Linked DNA regions of Arabidopsis thaliana. The protein of the gene in region 1 interacts with the protein of each later gene in a pairwise test. Each region holds a gene or a part of one and is shown in the gene's direction. Other genes may lie near its edges.

The links.
Region 2: the proteins of HDG2 (region 1) and CZF1 interact in a two-hybrid assay, tested with the Arabidopsis thaliana proteins (one large-scale study listed by BioGRID).
Region 3: the proteins of HDG2 (region 1) and SGR5 interact in a two-hybrid assay, tested with the Arabidopsis thaliana proteins (one large-scale study listed by BioGRID).
Region 4: the proteins of HDG2 (region 1) and SHN3 interact in a two-hybrid assay, tested with the Arabidopsis thaliana proteins (one large-scale study listed by BioGRID).

What each region holds. Positions count from the first base shown.
Region 1 is NC_003070.9:1,512,862-1,520,861, reverse strand, and holds HDG2 (homeodomain GLABROUS 2), read left to right. Parts: upstream 1-1,961; 5' UTR 1,962-2,292; intron 2,293-2,635; 5' UTR 2,636-2,681; exon of another isoform or gene 2,682-3,804; 5' UTR 3,805-3,837; coding exon 3,838-4,079; intron 4,080-4,157; coding exon 4,158-4,275; intron 4,276-4,852; coding exon 4,853-5,041; intron 5,042-5,410; coding exon 5,411-5,824; intron 5,825-5,898; coding exon 5,899-6,000; intron 6,001-6,071; coding exon 6,072-6,272; intron 6,273-6,299; exon of another isoform or gene 6,300-6,337; coding exon 6,338-6,512; exon of another isoform or gene 6,513-6,596; coding exon 6,597-6,868; exon of another isoform or gene 6,869-6,941; coding exon 6,942-7,037; coding exon of another isoform or gene 7,038-7,058; exon of another isoform or gene 7,059-7,117; coding exon 7,118-7,474; 3' UTR 7,475-7,488; exon of another isoform or gene 7,489-7,562; intron 7,563-7,568; 3' UTR 7,569-7,961; downstream 7,962-8,000. UniProt on the Arabidopsis thaliana protein: Probable transcription factor. Involved, together with PDF2, in the regulation of flower organs development by promoting the expression of APETALA 3 (AP3) in the epidermis and internal cell layers of developing flowers.
Region 2 is NC_003071.7:16,770,385-16,775,259, forward strand, and holds CZF1 (zinc finger (CCCH-type) family protein), read left to right. Parts: upstream 1-1,612; 5' UTR 1,613-1,869; intron 1,870-2,144; 5' UTR 2,145-2,152; coding exon 2,153-3,946; 3' UTR 3,947-4,350; downstream 4,351-4,875. UniProt on the Arabidopsis thaliana protein: Involved in salt stress response. May positively modulate plant tolerance to salt stress.
Region 3 is NC_003071.7:430,246-435,586, forward strand, and holds SGR5 (C2H2-like zinc finger protein), read left to right. Parts: upstream 1-2,029; 5' UTR 2,030-2,406; coding exon 2,407-2,566; intron 2,567-2,601; exon of another isoform or gene 2,602-2,766; intron 2,767-2,879; coding exon 2,880-3,266; coding exon of another isoform or gene 3,267-3,282; intron 3,283-3,878; coding exon 3,879-4,672; 3' UTR 4,673-4,832; downstream 4,833-5,341. UniProt on the Arabidopsis thaliana protein: Transcription factor involved in inflorescence stems gravitropism, probably by regulating starch accumulation in amyloplasts of graviperceptive cells. Required for stem circumnutation movements. Regulates lateral organ morphogenesis and gravitropic responses.
Region 4 is NC_003076.8:8,818,496-8,822,602, forward strand, and holds SHN3 (Integrase-type DNA-binding superfamily protein), read left to right. Parts: upstream 1-1,962; 5' UTR 1,963-2,141; coding exon 2,142-2,221; intron 2,222-2,756; coding exon 2,757-3,246; 3' UTR 3,247-3,567; downstream 3,568-4,107.

The sequences.
Region 1 (8,000 bases):
GCGCTTTGAAAAGCTATTGACTTTGGAGAAGATGTAGTTTGGGGAATTTTTTTATTAGTCCTTAGCTCTCAAAAGTTAAAAACTATAATAAACTGTTATAGTTTGTGGAATCCACGTTCCTGCATTCTCAATGTAAACTATCCAAGTTGCTCAATTCAGTGATTGGATATTACAATATACGGCTAGTTTCTTGTGAAACAAGTCGTCCTATAGACTAATGCAAAACAAAACAAAAAAATCAATCATTTTCCTTAACTAACTTTCCACTCTCGGAGAATGAGACTTTCGGCCTTGCCATTCTCGTTGGGGATAAAATATATAATGGGCCAAAAGTTTACTTCCGTCTTATGGCCCATATACGAAGCCCAGAAACAAAAAAAAACTACGATCTTGAATTTATTACAAAAGCATCCATTTTTTCAACAGAAGAATTCCATTTTGAATCTCAGATTTGATCATATTGGCAGAAAAAACACTAATTGAAATAAACTAAAAGTTTGACAAAAAAAAGAAATAAACTAAAAATAAATATTTGAGACTTACGAGGATGAAACAAACTTAAAATGTGAATAGTATTGTAGCAATTCTTTTTTGAAATAATTAACTTTTAGTGATGTAGCAGGAAAAAAGAAAAAACTAAAAAAAAAAAAAAAAAAAAAAGAAAAAACTAAAATGTTAGGCGTTGAATTACTAGTTTTTTTTAGTAGGAGAGTACGAAGAAGGAAGAGGAGGTTAAAGTGCAAGAGAGGCATGAGAGCAGTAAATGGCCTAAAGCCCATGCAGCCTCTGTGTACACATTTAATGCGTCGAAACTATTCGCCACCCTATCGCATACGTACGTACGTATAACTCCATCTATATATCTGTACCTACATATATACAGTAAAAATCAGAAATAAGTTGGGTTATTGTTTTTTTATATATAGTTATTTTAAAGAATCTAGGTAAAGTATAAACTTACTGAAAAGAAAAACTTGAGTGTTAAAGCTATAGCTATAAGGACTTTAAAAAAAAAAACAAAGCTTAAGAACTAGGTAATTAAATACGCAGTATATTTCTCTATATATTCGCGTGATAAATTAAGATGAATGCATGGCTTTTACAAATTATCACCTTTTTAATGGGTGATCCGTATTTTAAATAGCTTAATTGCACGTTATAGTTATAAATGCTTGGGCCACAAAGTAATTAATATTTCTAGGCATGTAAAATGAAGTCTTACTGTGAAAAAAGTGATATTTCATTGACTTCCTTAAATTGAAAAAACAATTGTTTCGTAAACAAAACTCAAAATTAAGGTGATGATTTTTAGATTTTCTTCTTTTAAATGAAATAAAATAAATACATCACTCAATCAACTTCTGTCTGACTAACAATAATACAACCTAAACTTCTATAATATTTAAGAAAATGCCATGTGGAAGAAGAATCATGAAATTTTCCTTCTTTACAATTAAATTTATAACAAAGATATGAAATAATAATAAAATAAAATAGTTAAAAATATAATAGTCATATTTTTTGAAAGTAAAAATTAAATTTATATCTCATAAAGATAAATATTAACTATAACAAGTCATTGAATTTTAGTTAAAAAACTATATAATTTTTTTCCATATTATAAATAATCTAAGAGTATTAAAATTTCAGAAAATTACTTTTAAAATTGTATCCTTGACAAATGGGGACTATTGTCTAACTTTTTCTGTAAATGGAGAACTGTATTAAAGCAAATTTCAATATAGTTAAATCTTTTTTTAATATAGTTAATTTTGTTAAGTGGTGATTTATTGCATATGCATAAGTTATGAATAATGCTAATGATTTTTTAAAAATAACTACATATCTAATAGATAAATGTAAGTCTCATAGGCTCATAGACCGTTAGCCGTCATTCCTCACCACATTATAATATTTTAAATAAATAAAAAATAAAATTATTTTAGGTTGACATTGTATATAAGATGAAAAACAACACATAATTTTGTAACATAAATAAAATAAATTGTAACATATCTCTCTCTCTCTATATATATATAAGCGTGTAGGATAATTAAGTGTCCCTCTCGCACCATTTAATTTCATTGCACCCTCTCAATTCTCTCTGTCATTACTCTCTCATCTCTCTTCCTCCAAGATTTGCACCTACCTTTCAAACCTTTTGCTCGCCAACAAAACCGCGCTTCACAAAACCATCAGCGGTTTTCCGAGAAACAAATCTCAGACCAGACACCGCTCTACTCTTCTCTCTCTCTCCCTCTAGGGTTTCGTCGCTTCTTCCTATATCCCAGTGTATGTCTCGAAAACCTCATCATTTCTGCTGTTTTCTTTATTTTATCCATTAATTCATGTACACAAATTTATTTGTTTAAAGTATCATTGGATCCATTACACTTCAGTTTTCTTAGCATCTTTATAAAACTCTCACTTTCATGATGTTTTTTTTTTATAATTTAATATATCCTGTATGTTGAATTTTCAGTTAGTCATCTATATTTTGTCTTAAATTTTGCCTTCTTTAGCATTAATTAATTGATTTCTTGCCTCTAATATCTTTCATTCCTCTCCTAATTTGCTTTCTGACTTTCTGATTTATTGTATTCTTCTTTAAATAATCTTATCAATTTCTGCATAGTCAGAGATGAAACCTTCAAGAAAACAATAAAGAGGAAAGATTAAAGGTTAGTATTCCCTTGCCTACCAAAAAAAACAGAAAGGTTTGTATTCTCTTCGTATATCCTTATTTTCATTATACGTTTGGTTTTATATATAAACACGTGTATATACTTTATAGTAGTAGTATACATTTACATATTAATGTGTGTAATAAAAACGTTTAAATACGATGATGATGATAAGAAATAGCTGGAAAAAATTAATACATCACCCAGGCCTTATGTCACGTTGGTTGTAAGTTGTATAATAACTATATGTTGGTCCGTCGCACAGGTGCACAGATATAATACTATTTTTTTCATTTCAATTTTTTTTTCTTTCTTAATCGCCAAATAGTAGTTTACACTTTTTCCTGAAGAGTTTTTATTTTTTGAAAATCTACTAATGATTATATTTAATTAAATTTTGTTTTGTTCTCACGAAAATATTGTTTTTTTAATAAACAGGATAGAGTTGGGAATTTATTTGTACCTACTTTTTCCCATTTTATTTGCTTTGAACAAATGAGTCCAACATTTCTCTTTTCGTCTTCTCTTTCCTATCCCATCTAAATCAAAACTGATCAAAATACCTCGAAATTTTAAATTAAATCACCATCCATCAAAGCTATTATAGTGTAGAAATTTTAAAGTTTTTTCTTTGGACAACAATTGATTTCCATCTACACTACATATGATATGACTCTTGAATCAATCATAGTTTTTATTTCAGTCTGCTGATTAGTTTTTTTCTTTTCTTTTAAAAGGGTAAAAAATCGGTAGTTTCGAATAATTTTGAGTATGTGAAAATTCATTATTTTTGGGTTGGTTATTCAATAACAAATTAATTTGTGATTGTGATGTCTTTTTTATGCAAGGCTCTTTTTTCTTGCTTTCAATTAGTGGGTCCTTTGTTTCCTACAATCATCTCCAATTCTTCTGTTTGCTTATATCATTTTGTATGATCTTCAAGAAGAAAGATAAACGACTCCGAAGAAAGATTTAAGTTATTGTTGTTCATACAAAAAGAAGGTTGTAAAGTTGTTGACGTGGACAAAAGTATTGCCATATTTTTCCAGCCTCGAAGAAATTTCCCTTCTTCTTCAAACCCTAAATTTTGACAAAACTCTCTACTTTTTTTTGCTTCTAGGGTTTGCTTTCAGTTTCCGGAGTATAAGAAAAGATGTTCGAGCCAAATATGCTGCTTGCGGCTATGAACAACGCAGACAGCAATAACCACAACTACAACCATGAAGACAACAATAATGAAGGATTTCTTCGGGACGATGAATTCGACAGTCCGAATACTAAATCGGGAAGTGAGAATCAAGAAGGAGGATCAGGAAACGACCAAGATCCTCTTCATCCTAACAAGAAGAAACGATATCATCGACACACCCAACTTCAGATCCAGGAGATGGAAGCGTATGTGTTTAACTTACTCACTTACTTCAATTTTCTTGTGTGTTTTTTGACAATTCTTTTGTTTTGGTTGTTAAATAGGTTCTTCAAAGAGTGTCCTCACCCAGATGACAAGCAAAGGAAACAGCTAAGCCGTGAATTGAATTTGGAACCTCTTCAGGTCAAATTCTGGTTCCAAAACAAACGTACCCAAATGAAGGTATACTTTTTATATTATGAACATATATACATTAGTTAATGGATCTATATATATTAGAGAAAATATATATACTTGTTAATTAAATTGTTATTTCATTCATATTAAGTCTTGTATATATACATTGAAGGGCTTATCTTTATACTTAAGAACATTTTGGGTGGCTGGTGTTTTCTTTCAGAATGAATTCATTGACTTTTGGCAGATTTTAGATCTAGTTGAGACACTTTGACTTAAAATTTCTTACTTATTTTTTTTTTCAATTGAAAAGTTGTTCCTTTGGCAGAACTATATATTTGGCGGATCAAGCTATAGAAAATTGTTTGGTTGTAACAACATTGCCTATTTATTATCTTAGTTAGAGCCATATATAATCTATAGATTGAAACGTTTTGGACACATATGCTTACGTTATGCAAATACGGTGAAACACATAACGTGTACACGAGTGTTTTATTTGAAACATACACTTTTCCTCTTTTTAAGTAAAATCCTTTGTTCCTTCGTTTTACCCAAATTAGAAATAAATCACTTGTATAAAACTTTAGAGATAACCGGAATATAAGTTTTATTTGCGCAGAATCATCACGAGCGGCATGAGAACTCACATCTTCGGGCGGAGAACGAAAAGCTTCGAAACGACAACCTAAGATATCGAGAGGCTCTTGCAAATGCTTCGTGTCCTAATTGTGGTGGTCCAACAGCTATCGGAGAAATGTCATTCGACGAACACCAACTCCGTCTCGAAAATGCTCGATTAAGGGAAGAGGTATGAGAATCAACTATTTTAAATGTTCAAATAATGTTAAGAGTTTTACACTTAAATGTTGTCAAGAAGATAAAATAAAAAATTAGAATTTGTTTTTATACCACTAATGTTATATCGCTTTCACAATAATCATTTCTTTCTTCATAAAATAAAAACTTTTATAGATTTGTATTGAAATTAGAGAATTTAAACATTTTTTTTTCATTGAAGAATAGAAAAAATTATGATATTAAATTGAGATACTAAAACGATATTTTTGGAACTGTAAGGAGTAGTAGTACATAATAACAACATTACTCAACGTTTCTTCTTGTGACCAAACTTTGAAAACCACAAGGATCAATAATCTTTCTTATTTGTCTGTTTTAGATCGACCGTATATCCGCAATCGCAGCTAAATACGTAGGCAAGCCAGTCTCAAACTATCCACTTATGTCTCCTCCTCCTCTTCCTCCACGTCCACTAGAACTCGCCATGGGAAATATTGGAGGAGAAGCTTATGGAAACAATCCAAACGATCTCCTTAAGTCCATCACTGCACCAACAGAATCTGACAAACCTGTCATCATCGACTTATCCGTGGCTGCAATGGAAGAGCTCATGAGGATGGTTCAAGTAGACGAGCCTCTGTGGAAGAGTTTGGTTTTAGACGAAGAAGAATATGCAAGGACCTTTCCTAGAGGGATCGGACCTAGACCGGCTGGATATAGATCAGAAGCTTCGCGAGAAAGCGCGGTTGTGATCATGAATCATGTTAACATCGTTGAGATTCTCATGGATGTGGTAATTAACATTTTCATTTTACTTAAAAGCAATCTTCTCTGTTTAGTTTCAACAACATTGATATGATGTTGCAGAATCAATGGTCGACGATTTTCGCGGGGATGGTTTCTAGAGCAATGACATTAGCGGTTTTATCGACAGGAGTTGCAGGAAACTATAATGGAGCTCTTCAAGTGGTAATTTTTTTTGCTTTTATTCTGTAAAAATTAAATTTCAAACTGAAATAACCACTCTGTTTTGCTTGCAGATGAGTGCAGAGTTTCAAGTTCCATCTCCATTAGTCCCAACACGTGAAACCTATTTCGCACGTTACTGTAAACAACAAGGAGATGGTTCGTGGGCGGTTGTCGATATTTCGTTGGATAGTCTCCAACCAAATCCCCCGGCTAGATGCAGGCGGCGAGCTTCAGGATGTTTGATTCAAGAATTGCCAAATGGATATTCTAAGGTAATATAATAAAAACATTAGGTTATACAAAATGTTTACTTAAGTAGAGAGAATTAATGTAACAGGTGACTTGGGTGGAGCATGTGGAAGTTGATGACAGAGGAGTTCATAACTTATACAAACACATGGTTAGTACTGGTCATGCCTTTGGTGCTAAACGCTGGGTAGCCATTCTTGACCGCCAATGCGAGCGGTTAGCTAGTGTCATGGCTACAAACATTTCCTCTGGAGAAGTTGGCGGTATAACCTACTGTTTGTTTCATAAACAGTTTTCATAATCAGAGTCAGAGTCAGAATCACAGTTCTATATTAATGAATATGCAGTGATAACCAACCAAGAAGGGAGGAGGAGTATGCTGAAATTGGCAGAGCGGATGGTTATAAGCTTTTGTGCAGGAGTGAGTGCTTCAACCGCTCACACGTGGACTACATTGTCCGGTACAGGAGCTGAAGATGTTAGAGTGATGACTAGGAAGAGTGTGGATGATCCAGGAAGGCCTCCTGGTATTGTTCTTAGTGCAGCCACTTCTTTTTGGATCCCTGTTCCTCCAAAGCGAGTCTTTGACTTCCTCAGAGACGAGAATTCAAGAAATGAGGTAACTATTTTAGTTACTACGCTCTCTTGTTCTGTTTTGGACAGAGTTTTGATGTTTTTGTGAGATTTTGCAGTGGGATATTCTGTCTAATGGAGGAGTTGTGCAAGAAATGGCACATATTGCTAACGGGAGGGATACCGGAAACTGTGTTTCTCTTCTTCGGGTAAATGTGAGTTACACCGGGTTTTGAACTATTGTTATAATCATCTGATCCTAGCTAAGAGTTTTCAATCTTTCTTTATGTCACAGAGTGCAAACTCTAGCCAGAGCAATATGCTGATCCTACAAGAGAGCTGCACTGATCCTACAGCTTCCTTTGTGATCTATGCTCCAGTCGATATTGTAGCTATGAACATAGTGCTTAATGGAGGTGATCCAGACTATGTGGCTCTGCTTCCATCAGGTTTTGCTATTCTTCCTGATGGTAATGCCAATAGTGGAGCCCCTGGAGGAGATGGAGGGTCGCTCTTGACTGTTGCTTTTCAGATTCTGGTTGACTCAGTTCCTACGGCTAAGCTGTCTCTTGGCTCTGTTGCAACTGTCAACAATCTAATAGCTTGCACTGTTGAGAGAATCAAAGCTTCAATGTCTTGTGAGACTGCTTGAAAACCATCCATTAGGTACTACTTTCACTAAATATATTCTTCTCGCTTTTACGCCATTATATGATGTAATCATATTTTTCTTCTTCTTTCTGCAGGAAATAACAAAATGGTGATGATGGAAAAAAGAGAGAGATTTCAGTTTGAGAAAAGCGGAGGAGTCAAGATCGAACCTCACAAGAGAATACCATTGAGTGTTTGTTAGTGTTAAGTTTTGGTCTGCTTATTTGATGAAACTAAGCAGTGAAAAACTTTTTACTTGAAAGTGAATATGTAGATGGTTTTACGAGGTTCGGGAATTTGACTTCCCCTGTCACATACTGAATTAGACAAAAACAAAAACTAGGTTAGAAAGAATGCTTTCGGATTTCTTTTTGTGTTACAGTTACTGTTTTTCTTTCCTTCTTGTGGTTAGATGGACCATCATCAGGAATTTGGAGTTTGTCTTTCTTTTGTATAAATATCTTATACAAGTATTTTGGTACTTTTGTAAGCTTATGTGAGTTTGTCTAGGGGAAAGCTCACACTTT
Region 2 (4,875 bases), on another chromosome or scaffold:
AAGTTAAAGGTGTTGCATTAATTTTTTGATAGCAAACAATTAAGGAAATGGGGGAAAAAGTGTAAGCGGGCGGCCAAGTGAAGACATTCTCTGTCGCCCACCCAAACACCAAAGAAGAGAAGGCGTGCCTCACTTTCCCTCTTTCTCCACGCACTTCTCCTTGCCCGTGTTTCTCACTCGCTTTACCCTAATCACTCCATTACAACTATACCTACAAGACCATTAAGATAAGCTTATCAATAAGAACACTGAGATAAAGTTGATCTCTATTTACGAATTGTTTACTACCAATAGATTTTGATTCGTACCAATCTTTTAAAGTATGTATGTATTGTTTGAATAGTAGTTCTACCGAACCAAAAATATTTTAATTGATCATGTAAAATATATTTAAGATTGTTGTGTGTTAATTATAGTGATCTTTAGAAAAAAGAGTAGCCAACGTGATAATGAAAGCGCGTGTTAAGAGTATTGAAACACTCACACGCTTGTGGAGGTTACCTGCTAAGTCGGTCGATTTGATCGATGGTGGGTCTTTTACACATCCCCAACGTCATTTACCATTTATTCAACCTCATATATTATGTTCTTGATGATGAAAAAGAACATAATATTTTTTTTTTTTTTTTTTTTTAATTTTTTTTTGATGATGATGAAAAAAAAAAATATTATGTTCTTTTTTAATTTCTTTTTAATATTTTTGACAGTAATTTTATTTTAATCTTATTTTGTTACAAATAGTTTTTAATACCTTAGGACCTGTTGGAACTTGGAAAAAAACAATATTTTTTAATATCTCAGGATCTTTGCCCATACATGTTTTGGGCACCCATGCGTTTATATGAAAAACAGCATGCAGATGTAAAATATAAACAACTGTAGATTTGGTCAGATGTTAAAATTTAAATTATGTCTTTTGAAATGTGACCTATAATTGTCCAGATAGATATACATAACTATTTAGTAATTGTAAGTCTATTTCCTGTAATGTATTCAGCTAAATGCATGTAGATAATCTGATATCACATACATCTATAGCCATATAGAGAATGCATAGTAACATCAACAACATATAAATTTTGGGCTATTTTCTAATGAGGGTTTTTGAGTATAAATGGATCTCCTAAAACGAGTTTACCGGATGGGTAAGGTAGTAGTTCCCTTTGAGTTTTCTTTCTGCTTTGTATAATTAAAACAAAGTAATTGATTAGGAACTTAGTAGGTCCTAAAGAGAACCAACAATGGTTTCGGTTATAAATAAACCAAATGGGTACATTATCCTTATATCTAGAAACTTTAACCAAAAACAAGATGTTATCTAGAAACAATAAATACATCCGGAATGAGACTTTTTCTTATGTAAGTCGATACAATGGGGGCATTGTTTTATTTCCCTTCAAATGAACTTTGCTTTTTGATCATTTTAAAAAGCCATATTGAAAAAATCAATGAGATAGGAAGATAGATATTATAATATTCTTTTTATAAAAAAGACAAAAAAAATACACTAAAACAATTGAATAAGAGTCAGCAAAACAACGACGTCCTTACCTTTTTTAAAAGTTTCCCAGTTTTGACTTTTGACCTAAACCATTTCCATGTAGAAAGAGAGCAAAAAACAAAACAAAACAAAGATAAGTAAAAAATAAAAATGATATAAAGAAGGAAGAAGAAGACCGAGAAAGGTAGACGAAAGAAAGAGCGTACCTTCCTCTTTCCTTCTTCGTAAAAACCAAGTTCCTTTTAAAAGGAGCCTCTCCTTTCTCATTTGATCCTTCTTCAAAAACCCCAACCACTTCTTCTCCCCAAAAACCTCCAAAGTTTCAATCTTTACTTCTCTCTTTTTCTCCAAGTTATCTTCTTTTCTAGGTATGTCTTGATTCTTTCTCTCTCTGTTTTTTCCTATTTCATTCAGGATTCTGGGTTTGGTTAAATCTTTAATCTTTATGGTTTTAATGGCTTGATTTTGACGAAACGGTCGTGTAATTATTCATTACTTTGCTTAAATTGGGGATTGATTTTGTGTATAAAGAAGAATCTTGAAAATGAAAAATTGAAACTTTGAATCGAAAGAACTCAATTTGCGTTGCTCTTTCTCATTCTTTGTTGCTTTCTCCTAAAAGTTTTTCACTTTTGAATCACAGGAAGAGATATGTGCGGTGCAAAGAGCAACCTTTGCTCATCTAAAACCCTAACAGAAGTCGAATTCATGAGGCAGAAATCAGAAGACGGAGCTTCCGCCACGTGTCTCCTCGAATTCGCCGCCTGTGATGATCTTTCATCGTTTAAGAGAGAGATCGAAGAGAATCCATCGGTGGAGATTGATGAGTCAGGGTTTTGGTATTGCAGACGGGTCGGGTCTAAGAAGATGGGTTTTGAAGAAAGAACACCACTTATGGTTGCTGCTATGTATGGAAGCATGGAAGTGTTGAATTACATAATTGCCACAGGAAGATCCGATGTGAACAGAGTTTGCAGTGACGAGAAAGTCACTGCTCTTCACTGTGCAGTTTCTGGCTGTTCTGTTTCTATCGTTGAGATCATCAAGATCTTGCTTGATGCTTCTGCTTCACCTAATTGTGTTGACGCTAATGGGAACAAACCGGTTGATTTGTTGGCTAAAGATTCTCGGTTTGTTCCTAACCAGAGTAGAAAGGCGGTTGAGGTTTTACTGACCGGGATTCATGGTTCGGTTATGGAAGAAGAGGAGGAGGAACTGAAGAGTGTTGTGACTAAGTATCCAGCTGATGCATCACTTCCTGATATTAACGAAGGTGTTTATGGAACTGATGATTTTAGGATGTTTAGCTTTAAGGTTAAGCCATGTTCTAGGGCTTATTCACATGATTGGACTGAATGTCCTTTTGTTCATCCTGGTGAGAATGCAAGGAGGAGAGATCCTAGGAAGTATCCTTACACTTGTGTGCCTTGTCCCGAGTTTCGTAAAGGGTCTTGTCCTAAAGGAGATTCGTGTGAGTACGCGCACGGTGTTTTCGAGTCTTGGCTTCACCCGGCGCAGTATAGGACACGGCTTTGCAAAGATGAGACTGGTTGTGCTAGGAGAGTTTGTTTCTTTGCTCATAGACGGGATGAGTTAAGACCGGTTAATGCTTCTACTGGTTCTGCAATGGTTTCACCAAGGTCGTCTAATCAGTCTCCTGAGATGTCTGTTATGTCTCCTTTGACGCTGGGATCATCGCCAATGAACTCTCCTATGGCTAATGGTGTTCCTTTGTCTCCAAGAAATGGTGGTTTATGGCAGAACAGAGTTAATAGCCTTACACCACCACCGTTGCAGCTTAATGGTAGCAGATTGAAGTCGACTTTGAGTGCTAGAGATATGGATATGGAGATGGAACTTAGGTTTCGCGGTTTGGATAACCGGAGACTTGGTGATCTCAAGCCATCCAACCTCGAAGAGACTTTCGGATCATATGACTCAGCTTCTGTGATGCAACTTCAATCACCAAGCAGGCATTCTCAGATGAACCACTATCCGTCTTCACCTGTGAGGCAGCCTCCTCCTCATGGATTCGAATCTTCAGCAGCCATGGCAGCTGCAGTGATGAATGCAAGATCCTCAGCGTTTGCGAAACGCAGCTTGAGTTTCAAACCAGCTCCAGTAGCTTCTAATGTCTCCGATTGGGGATCACCAAATGGGAAGCTTGAGTGGGGAATGCAAAGAGATGAGCTGAACAAGTTGAGGAGAAGTGCCTCCTTCGGCATTCATGGAAACAACAACAACAGTGTGTCACGCCCTGCTAGAGACTACAGTGACGAGCCAGATGTGTCGTGGGTGAACTCACTGGTGAAAGAGAATGCACCAGAGAGAGTGAATGAGAGGGTTGGGAATACGGTGAATGGTGCAGCGAGTAGAGACAAGTTTAAGCTGCCGTCGTGGGCAGAGCAAATGTATATAGACCATGAGCAGCAGATTGTGGCATAAGAAGCAGAAAGAAAGATGTGGGATTTATATTGCTTTTGTCTTCTGGGCCTCTCTACACAGAATCTAACAAATCTGGCAATAATTCTTTGATTTGTGTTTGACCCATAGTTTGGTTACTAGTATATGTTTTTTTATGTTCTTTTTTTCTTTGTCATTCTCTTGTCCTTCGTGACACTATGTAATGATTAAAAGCAAATAATTGATGCATGAGTTCAAATGTTCTTTGAAGGATCCATCTTATTAGCTTTGTAATTGTTGTGATATCTTAATCTTATTGGTTACGTATTTCAAGTGCTTTAGAAAAAATGGGCCTAAGAGATTTTGGGGAGCTTTTTTGGCTTGTTATTTTCCTCACATATACAACTTGCAGCTTATTATTTATTGAAAATCTTTTCTTATCTAGATTCAAAAAGATTTCCACAAATTTTAATTAACGACCCCTGATTACAAAGAAACCTACCCAAAGTCAAATTTTGTCCATAATTTCTATCGTGTAGGACACTAAAAAGTAAAAACTCATACCTAATTGGTTTCTAGTAGAAACGGTCAGTGCACTATCTTTCTTTCAGGTTATCGAAGGAAAAAAGATCAGTAGAGTAGCATCGTTAATAGTAGAGTTAAGAAAAGCATGTAACATGTGGTCTACTTTTTATTTCACAGAAAAATACCATACCATGTGATAATGTCGCATAAAATCTTTACTTTTCCGGTGTTATCGATGTGTGTTAATGCTAAATACCCGAAACAATTTCAAGACTCAATTTTGAACTATCGAATAGAATTCTTCTAAAATGGATGAGGAAAAAGTCGCTGGTTTAAGTCGTGCGACCCTCAAAATAAAGTTAGGAATATAATCACAAGCTGCATACTTTCATTAATCAATTTAAAAAGAAACGACTAACTTTATTCTTTCTTTGCCAAACTCCATA
Region 3 (5,341 bases), on another chromosome or scaffold:
TAAAGAGCTCAATATTTTTATACATTAAACTTAGATTTCAACTTTTATGTATAACTTTTAACCTTGGATCAACCACTAGGCCATTGTCGATTTATTTTTGACTATTAAAAATCAGACTATTGTATTTCATTTAACATGTTTTTGTTTCTTTTTGAATTTTTGCATTCATTTAAGATGTTGTGGTCTCTCAAGTCCATATATAACGATTAGAAACTACAAATTTATAATTTTGTAGCTCCGAAATAAATATCATGCATTATGTATCAGCTAGAAAAGATCTAATCAGTGGTAATAATCGATAAGCAAAGGGTTAAGTAAGAGATGGGAGAGTAATCTCATCTTAGGAAATGATTACAAACACGATCTCATTTCTTTCCTTTATACAAAGCTGTCACCGTAGTAACTCGATCACATCTTCTCGTCTAATTTGTTCTGTTTTTCCTTTCGGTCCATTTAGAACCAATTTTTGACAACTGACAAAAAACATTATGAGGTATCTTTTGTTTCTTTTATCTGCAAATTAATTTATTATTCGGCAATAACAAAAATAAAAACAACTAGTAGCGAATAGCGATCAAGCTAAGGAAGGAATACATATGGCATTTACAATTGAAACAGAGAAAATGTGTTAAAGTAACAAAACTTATGATTGAGAAAATTTAAACCATAATTGAAACAGAGAAAATGTGTTAAAGTAACAAAACTTATGATTGAGAAAATTTAAACCATAATAATGATTAATTTTGGTAGTCTACATATGAGTTCCATCAAAAAAAAAAAAATGTTTTCATATAAGATTCATTTCATTCTTGATCCAGTAACATTCTTAGATCTGTTAATGAACCTTCTTAAGGAATGACTGAGAAGAAAGGCAATAGCCTAAAAGGAATCGACAGTGGAGAGTGGAGGGAAAAAGAGGTCACGTGAGTAAGACATAAGGTCACGTGCGCGAGGGATCGAATATGAATTTTACTAAAATAGGGTTTTATAAAAACATACTAATACTACTTTCACATTTACTCTTGGTTTGAATTATTTTTATACGCATGTATAATTTGATATATTTGTCTTTTTTCTTCCCCTAACTATGTATGGGCACTAGTACATCCATTATATAAGCCAAATAGAAAGAAAAAATAATAGTTTGTCTGCATTATTGTAAACTTACAGAATTTGGTATTTAATGCAATAATGCATTTTTATCCTTGGATTATTCACAAGAACCATATACCTTTTTTTTTCTCTCCTTGTTTCCAAGTGTAATTCGAAAAGAATCTTAACATGTATGTGGACCAACGTTGGAAACATGATGACATAACATTCATATATAGTTAACAATGACAATTTTTCTTAAATTGTCTATATATTATTGGATTGCTTTAACAATAATGAAACGCAAGATGTATTAGTGATGTATAATCACACTATTTATAGGACTTGAGAGTGACAGTCAAAAAGTTAATTAGAAGTAATGAAGTATCTTAACCTTATTATTTAATTGCTTCTTACATCATCTAAGAGTTAGCACCGTATCGATATTCATAAATTCTCTCCTAATTTGCAGATACAATACAACTATTGCTATTTTAAGCCTCTAACCTGCATAATATTTTGATGAAAGGCAAGCCTTACATGTGGACGTATGATCTCATATATTTTTTTTTTTCATTTGTTAGAAGAAACTCATGTAGATAATCTCAAACATAAAATAAAATGTTTCAAAAAAAAAAAAAAAAATAGTTTGTGAAGGTTCAAGAAAATCAGACAAATTCATCAATCAGACAAGATATGGGTCCAAGCCAAAAAATTCATATATCCAACATGCTCAAAGAAACAAAGTCTAAAAAATAAATACAAAATAACAAAAAGAAAAATCTAAAATCTACATCTAAATCTAAATAAATACACCACCTTCTCTCTCTCTCTCTCTAGCTACACGAGTGTATGTATACATTTTACGCAATGATGGCATAGTGCAATGAGCTTTATAAGTAGAAGCAATATAGACATCAAAGACCCCTTATTTGCTCTCAACTCTCAAGTGTATGAGAGAGAAATAGGTTTTTGAAGAAGAGTCAAAATATATACCCAAAGAGAGAGCTAGAGAGAGAGAGACTCAAGAAAATTAAAAAGCTTTCATCATATTAACATAAGAGAAACTTTGAAGAGCCTAAGAAAAAGTTTTGAAAAGCCTTTGTTGCAGAAAGCTTAAAAGAACTTTTTCTCTCCCCCTATATCTCTCTTTATCACCCTTCCTCTTCTTTGTAAAGCTGAATCTCCCACTATCTCTTCTTCTTTCATTTTTTTTTTTTTTTGGTCTTTGGGCCTTGTTCTTTCATCAAATCAATCTCTAGAATCCAAATACAATAAAGTCAAAAAGAAAGATCAAGAAAAGTAGAGTAATTGATGAGAACAGATCAAGTGATGTTGTCCAACAAGAACACAAACACATGTTGTGTGGTTTCTTCTTCTTCTTCTGATCCTTTCCTCTCCTCTTCAGAAAATGGGGTCACCACCACAAACACATCCACTCAGAAGAGGAAAAGAAGACCTGCAGGTACCCCAGGTAATAATAAATCCCCACTACAGAAAATTTATTTTTCAAAATCTTTTTTTCTTGTTTTTATTTTCTTATGAAAATTTTCAACTCATGGGTACTATTGTTTTTTGTTTTTTTTTTCTCTTAAACCCCATTAGAAATACAGGTTTATTATAGGTTTAGTTTTAAAATTTCTCTTTTTCTTATTGCCAGTTTCAAAGTTATAGGTACAATTAATGGGTTTTCATTGTTTTTAATTCTTAAACCTCATTTAAAATCTCAACTTTATTAATCAACTAAGACATGTGTTTTGATGGGTTTTGCCTTATCTCCTTTTCAGATCCAGATGCAGAAGTTGTGTCTTTATCACCAAGAACTCTTCTTGAATCAGACAGATACATATGTGAGATCTGTAACCAAGGGTTTCAAAGAGACCAGAATCTCCAGATGCATAGAAGACGTCACAAAGTTCCATGGAAGCTTCTTAAAAGAGACAACAACATAGAGGTGAAGAAACGAGTCTATGTTTGCCCTGAACCCACTTGCCTTCACCATAATCCTTGTCATGCTCTGGGAGATCTTGTCGGCATCAAAAAACATTTCAGAAGAAAACATAGTAACCATAAGCAATGGGTTTGTGAGAGATGCTCTAAAGGTTATGCTGTTCAATCTGATTACAAAGCTCATCTCAAAACTTGTGGTACTAGAGGACATTCTTGTGACTGTGGTCGTGTCTTCTCCAGGTATAATTTCTTGTTCCTCTCTATCATTTGATTTTTTTTTGACCCATTTTATAAATTAATTATTGGTATTATTAATTCTGAAAAGATATGCAAACTTTTGGAAGGATTTGTTAAGTATTTCTAAAATATACAAGTAATTTGACTCTGTTTGTTTTGTATATTTAGGAGATCATATAGAAAGACAAATATAGAAAATTCTTCTAGGGACCAAAGACTAAGATTGATAGTTATAGTACTATTTGATTTGACTATCCTTCATGATTTTTACTAATTCTGTGTATTGATGTGTATGCATCAGAGTTTTTTAATATATCTCTTGACTATTTGTTTGGTTTTTGTGACATAAAAAGAAAGTTAAGCACTTAGATTAATGACATTGACCCCAATCTCTAAAGAAATATTTTATGTATTTAGGTTATTATTGGACCTTTTTTCGACACAAAGGTTATAATTGGACCTAAACTCATATTAATAATATATATTTTTGAGTTCAAAGGTATTTAATAAACGACGTTTAAACAGAAAAACTTAATATAAAATTATTAACTTTGTCACATTTTCATAATCCTACGTCATATAAATTATGTAATTGATAGGTTTCTTTTCTTCTTTTAGGGTGGAGAGTTTTATTGAACATCAAGATAATTGTTCCGCACGGAGAGTTCACCGTGAACCGCCTCGACCACCACAAACCGCGGTAACAGTCCCGGCATGCTCTTCTAGAACCGCCTCAACCGTCAGCACTCCGTCTAGTGAAACCAATTACGGCGGTACAGTTGCGGTTACGACTCCTCAACCTCTAGAAGGCCGTCCAATTCATCAGAGAATCTCATCTTCAATTCTCACCAACTCATCAAACAATCTCAACCTCGAACTCCAACTTCTTCCATTATCGTCGAATCAAAACCCTAATCAAGAAAACCAACAACAAAAAGTTAAAGAACCATCTCATCATCATAATCATAATCATGATACCACAAACTTAAACCTCTCCATTGCACCATCATCATCATATCAACATTACAACAACTTTGATCGTATAAAAGAGATTATGGCGAGCGAGCAAATTATGAAGATAGCGATGAAGGAGAAAGCTTACGCTGAGGAAGCTAAAAGAGAAGCCAAGAGGCAACGAGAGATAGCGGAAAACGAGTTTGCAAATGCCAAAAAGATTAGGCAAAAAGCACAAGCTGAACTCGAGAGAGCTAAGTTTTTAAAGGAACAATCTATGAAGAAGATAAGTTCAACGATCATGCAGGTCACTTGTCAAACATGTAAAGGACAGTTTCAAGCAGTTGCGGTTCCGGCGGCTACGGCTGATGAGACGTCTCTTGTCGTGAGTTACATGTCGTCAGCGAATACTGACGGAGAGTTGGAAAATGGTTTTTAAGTAAAACCGAAGAAAACATAAGATATTTAAATTGAGGTTAACTTTATTATACTTTTGTGTATTAATTACCGGTTGTGTTAATTTTTTCAACTACCATATATTATGTAATGGTTGTTATATAGTTGTTTCTTTGGTCCAACAATATTAGACTATGTTTTGTAACTATGTTACTGTCATTTCCGCCACATTACACTTTAAATTGTTGAAAAATGATTTTATCCTAGGTTTCATATAGAACCTTAAAATTAAATTTTATCAACAAAAAAAAAACCTTGAAATTAACTATTTAAATTTTTATATAGATATTTTTTCGTCTTGAACGTCTACAGTAGTTTAGAAGGAGTTAAGAGTGGAGATCCGTACATGCGTGTTTTGATCTTTGGCCTTAGATTCGCTTAGAACTTTCAATGGATATACAATTTTTTTAATAAAACATGTGATATGCGGATTTGAATTCGGTTAAATATACATTTGCTTATCCTTGATTTGTCTACATTATTTTTGGTAAGCTTGAGGTGATATATTTGAAAACAAATCTCACGTTTTAAGGATCAAAACAGTCCCTGCATGATAGAGATTATCGACATCTAATGTATACCAGTATATTTAGTAAGTTTGAAAGAGGGTAAGTAGTTGCTTGGCACGAGTTGATATATGGAGTGATGGGAA
Region 4 (4,107 bases), on another chromosome or scaffold:
TTGTGTGTTAAATTTAGTAACAAACTTACTTTCATGCTATTTATGAGAATTGCATATTTCTAGACCAATTTTTTATTATTATAATTCATATAATTATTCTTGAATTATTTATGTGCTATTTGTGAGAATTACCAATTTCTAGACCAATATTTTATTATTATTCATATAATTAAACGTTTATTGAATTATTTTAGCTCTAAAAAATATAATGAAATTTAGAATTGTTATAGAAACTTTAAATGACTCAAAACTGATCTTTGTTTTTTTGTCAACCACACATTAATTAAAAACTGATCTTTGTTAAACATCTAAATATTGAAAAACAAAAGGATTACCACCGCACCTATCCTGCATCGTCTTGTACCATTTGCATTCATCAGAGCCATTATATATTCATGTGGCTGTCACATCCTTATATACATTTCAACTTATAAATTTAATTTTGTACGTTTAGCAGATGTTGGTGAATTCATTTATTCAAGCTTAAGGTTTAACTCGTTCTTGTCTCCTTTAGGTTCATAACATTTAATGGACAACAACTACTCCAAATATCCGTGGACTTTACCACGCGACGCACCGACAATTCTCTAGCCTTTTCATTAATTGATCAGTAAAAACACTTCTATAATTTTAATTATTCTCAGAAATTTTAACCGGTAGTAACATAAACGTAGATGATCGAAAAAGATGAAATCGAGGTCTCTGTTTTGTGTCGAATTAATAGATCTATAAGAAATCAAACAATGAAAATTAAATAGATGAATGAAATATGTTTTGACGACGTTTTCACGTCACTGTTTAAGTTATCTGTTAGTAAAATTTGATAGCATTTAATTTGAATTGCTATGTAACTCGGAATAAATTCGACGGCAAGAGGTGTGGGATGTGATCAGTCTTCTAATTAAGTGTAATCTTTACAAAAAATCAGTATGAGTTAATACAGGTTTATAAATAGAAAGACATCTACAGTAAAACCTCTATAAATTAATAATGTTGGGACTGCAAAATTTTATTAATTTAGAAAGATTTTAATTTATCGATAAATTAATATTTATTAATTTATAGAGAGATTTTCGTAATTTAGTAACTTTTCAAAAATTTCTATAAAATTTTTTTCATTATAGAAAATATCTTTCAAAAATCAATTACAAGTAAATAATAATATCATGTTTAGAAAACAACACCAAAAGTTTTTGATAAAGTAAAATACTATAACTAAATTTAAATAAGAATAAATACAAATTTTAAGCAAAAAAATATTAGAATTATATTTCAAAATAATTTCTTACATATAATGTATATATAGTTGATATATTTATAAAATTATTAATTTATGATATTGATGGGACCATATATTTACATAAGATTTTTTAAAAAGTTATTATCTTATTAATTTATCGATTTGTGTCACTTTTTACACTGATCCCAACTCGGGACTGGAAGAATTTATTAATTTATAGAGGTTATTAATTTATCGAGTATTAATTTATAGAGGTTTAACTGTATATGAATAATTGAATACACATGGGACATCATTATAGTTACCTTAGTACGATTTTATGCATTTGGTTACCAAAATCCACTAGGCTTCGTAATTGGTTGTGGGTCAGTGTCCATTCGATAGTTTGCATTAGCGATAAACACTTAAAACAGTAAAACGTGATCTATTTTTAAACAATAACATTTCTTCTTATCAAATATTCACATAATTAATGAAGAAAAGAGACGAATTGATAGGCAATAAGAAATATGATCACTTGGTACCATTGTATGCATGGTATGAACTGACATCAAGTATTTGTACGTTGTAGGGTAATTATTAACATTGTAGAATGACAAGTATGATCAAATGGAAAAGGATTAGTTATATGTAGCAAAACTAGTATTTGTACTTGGACTATCTTGTCATGTAGTTTTCCTAACGCTATATATAATCCAATAACCCCATGACACGGAAGAGATAGGGGACATACAATAAATATCAGTAGAGAGGACGTGGGAAAAGCAGAGAGTTAAGTGAGTAGTTGGAGATAGAAAGATCAGAGACGAGGAATCTCTCTCCCACTCTCACTTTCTCTCCTATTCTTAGTTCGTGTCAGAAACACACAGAGAAATTAAGAACCCTAATTTAAAACAGAAGAATGGTACATTCGAAGAAGTTCCGAGGTGTCCGCCAGCGTCAGTGGGGTTCTTGGGTTTCTGAGATTCGTCATCCTCTCTTGTCAGTTCTCTCTCCCTCTCTATCTATTAATAGAGACAACAGTATAAATCTGTTTATGCAAGTCCATGCTATGAGTTAAGTTTACATTTTTGGTGTACGTGTAGGGCAGTTTTCTGATCATTGATTATATTTTCGAAGATTCATGCAAAGCTCTTATAATATCATGCATTTTTGTTTAAGTCGTTTTCCTTATTTTTTTCCAATTAAAAAACCCACGTTTATTAACATATACATATGTTGAGTATTTGTACTTTTTGTGTTGTATTTTGAAATTTTGAGTGTACATAAATTTAAATGCTTTGTCATATAATTGATACTGATGTATTTTCTATGTCTTAGTTGGATTATAGAAAATCATATAGCAAAGAATTGGGAAGGAACGAACACTACTCACTATAAACTTTCCTCAAAAAGAAAACGACCCAATTTATTATCAGTAACAATTTATAACAAATTTGTTGTGTGTTTGTTTTAGTACTTTGAAGTTTGAATAAAATGTGTGTTTTTTGCTTACGTAACTTATGTGAGCTATCAGGAAGAGAAGAGTGTGGCTAGGAACATTCGACACGGCGGAAACAGCGGCTAGAGCCTACGACCAAGCCGCGGTTCTAATGAACGGCCAGAGCGCGAAGACTAACTTCCCCGTCATCAAATCGAACGGTTCAAATTCCTTGGAGATTAACTCTGCGTTAAGGTCTCCCAAATCATTATCGGAACTATTGAACGCTAAGCTAAGGAAGAACTGTAAAGACCAGACACCGTATCTGACGTGTCTCCGCCTCGACAACGACAGCTCACACATCGGCGTCTGGCAGAAACGCGCCGGGTCAAAAACGAGTCCAAACTGGGTCAAGCTTGTTGAACTAGGTGACAAAGTTAACGCACGTCCCGGTGGTGATATTGAGACTAATAAGATGAAGGTACGAAACGAAGACGTTCAGGAAGATGATCAAATGGCGATGCAGATGATCGAGGAGTTGCTTAACTGGACCTGTCCTGGATCTGGATCCATTGCACAGGTCTAAAGGAGAATCATTGAATTATATGATCAAGATAATAATATAGTTGAGGGTTAATAATAATCGAGGGTAAGTAATTTACGTGTAGCTAATAATTAATATAATTTTCGAACATATATATGAATATATGATAGCTCTAGAAATGAGTACGTATATATACGTAAACATTTTTCCTCAAATATAGTATATGTGTTGTGATTCTAAGACTTGTAAACTGATATGGCCTACTGTTTAAAGAGTAGTTGATATTTTCTATTGAATTTGTGGACATGATATAATTACAGGAGATTAGTATAGTAGTCATTATGATACTTATGAAGGTACAAGTGGTAGGATGATAATTAATTAGTTTAATAAAGAATAATGAACATTAAATGTGAAAGAGATTTGCCACTTTTGTTAAACACATCTGCGAATCAGATTCTTGTGATTCGAATGTTAGTCCTACCTAGATTAAGAAAGGTTTTACTATTTTAACATGTTTACCTGGTTTGGGTAAAGTTCATGTCCTGTCCTATTCCGTCTTGTCCCGATCATGATAAACTTTATGAGCAATTCTTATAGAATTTTATTTTAAAATACTGATTTTTGATATTCAATTTTATTTGATTATTTTTTACTTAGGCATGTGATAAAGGCGATTTTGACTTAGTTTCACATACAAGTTTAAGTAAATTATCTTACATAACAAAAGAGATTCAAGTAAATAAATCTAAGCGGGCTAAAATTAATCAACTAGCTCAAGTTGAAACATTTTATCAAGTGAACCTCTTCCAAGTCTAGATAGCATCTCAAGTTTATATATGATATCATATCATGGACACACTTTGGATTTTGGATATTTTGTGTCGATGTTTAAACATCTTG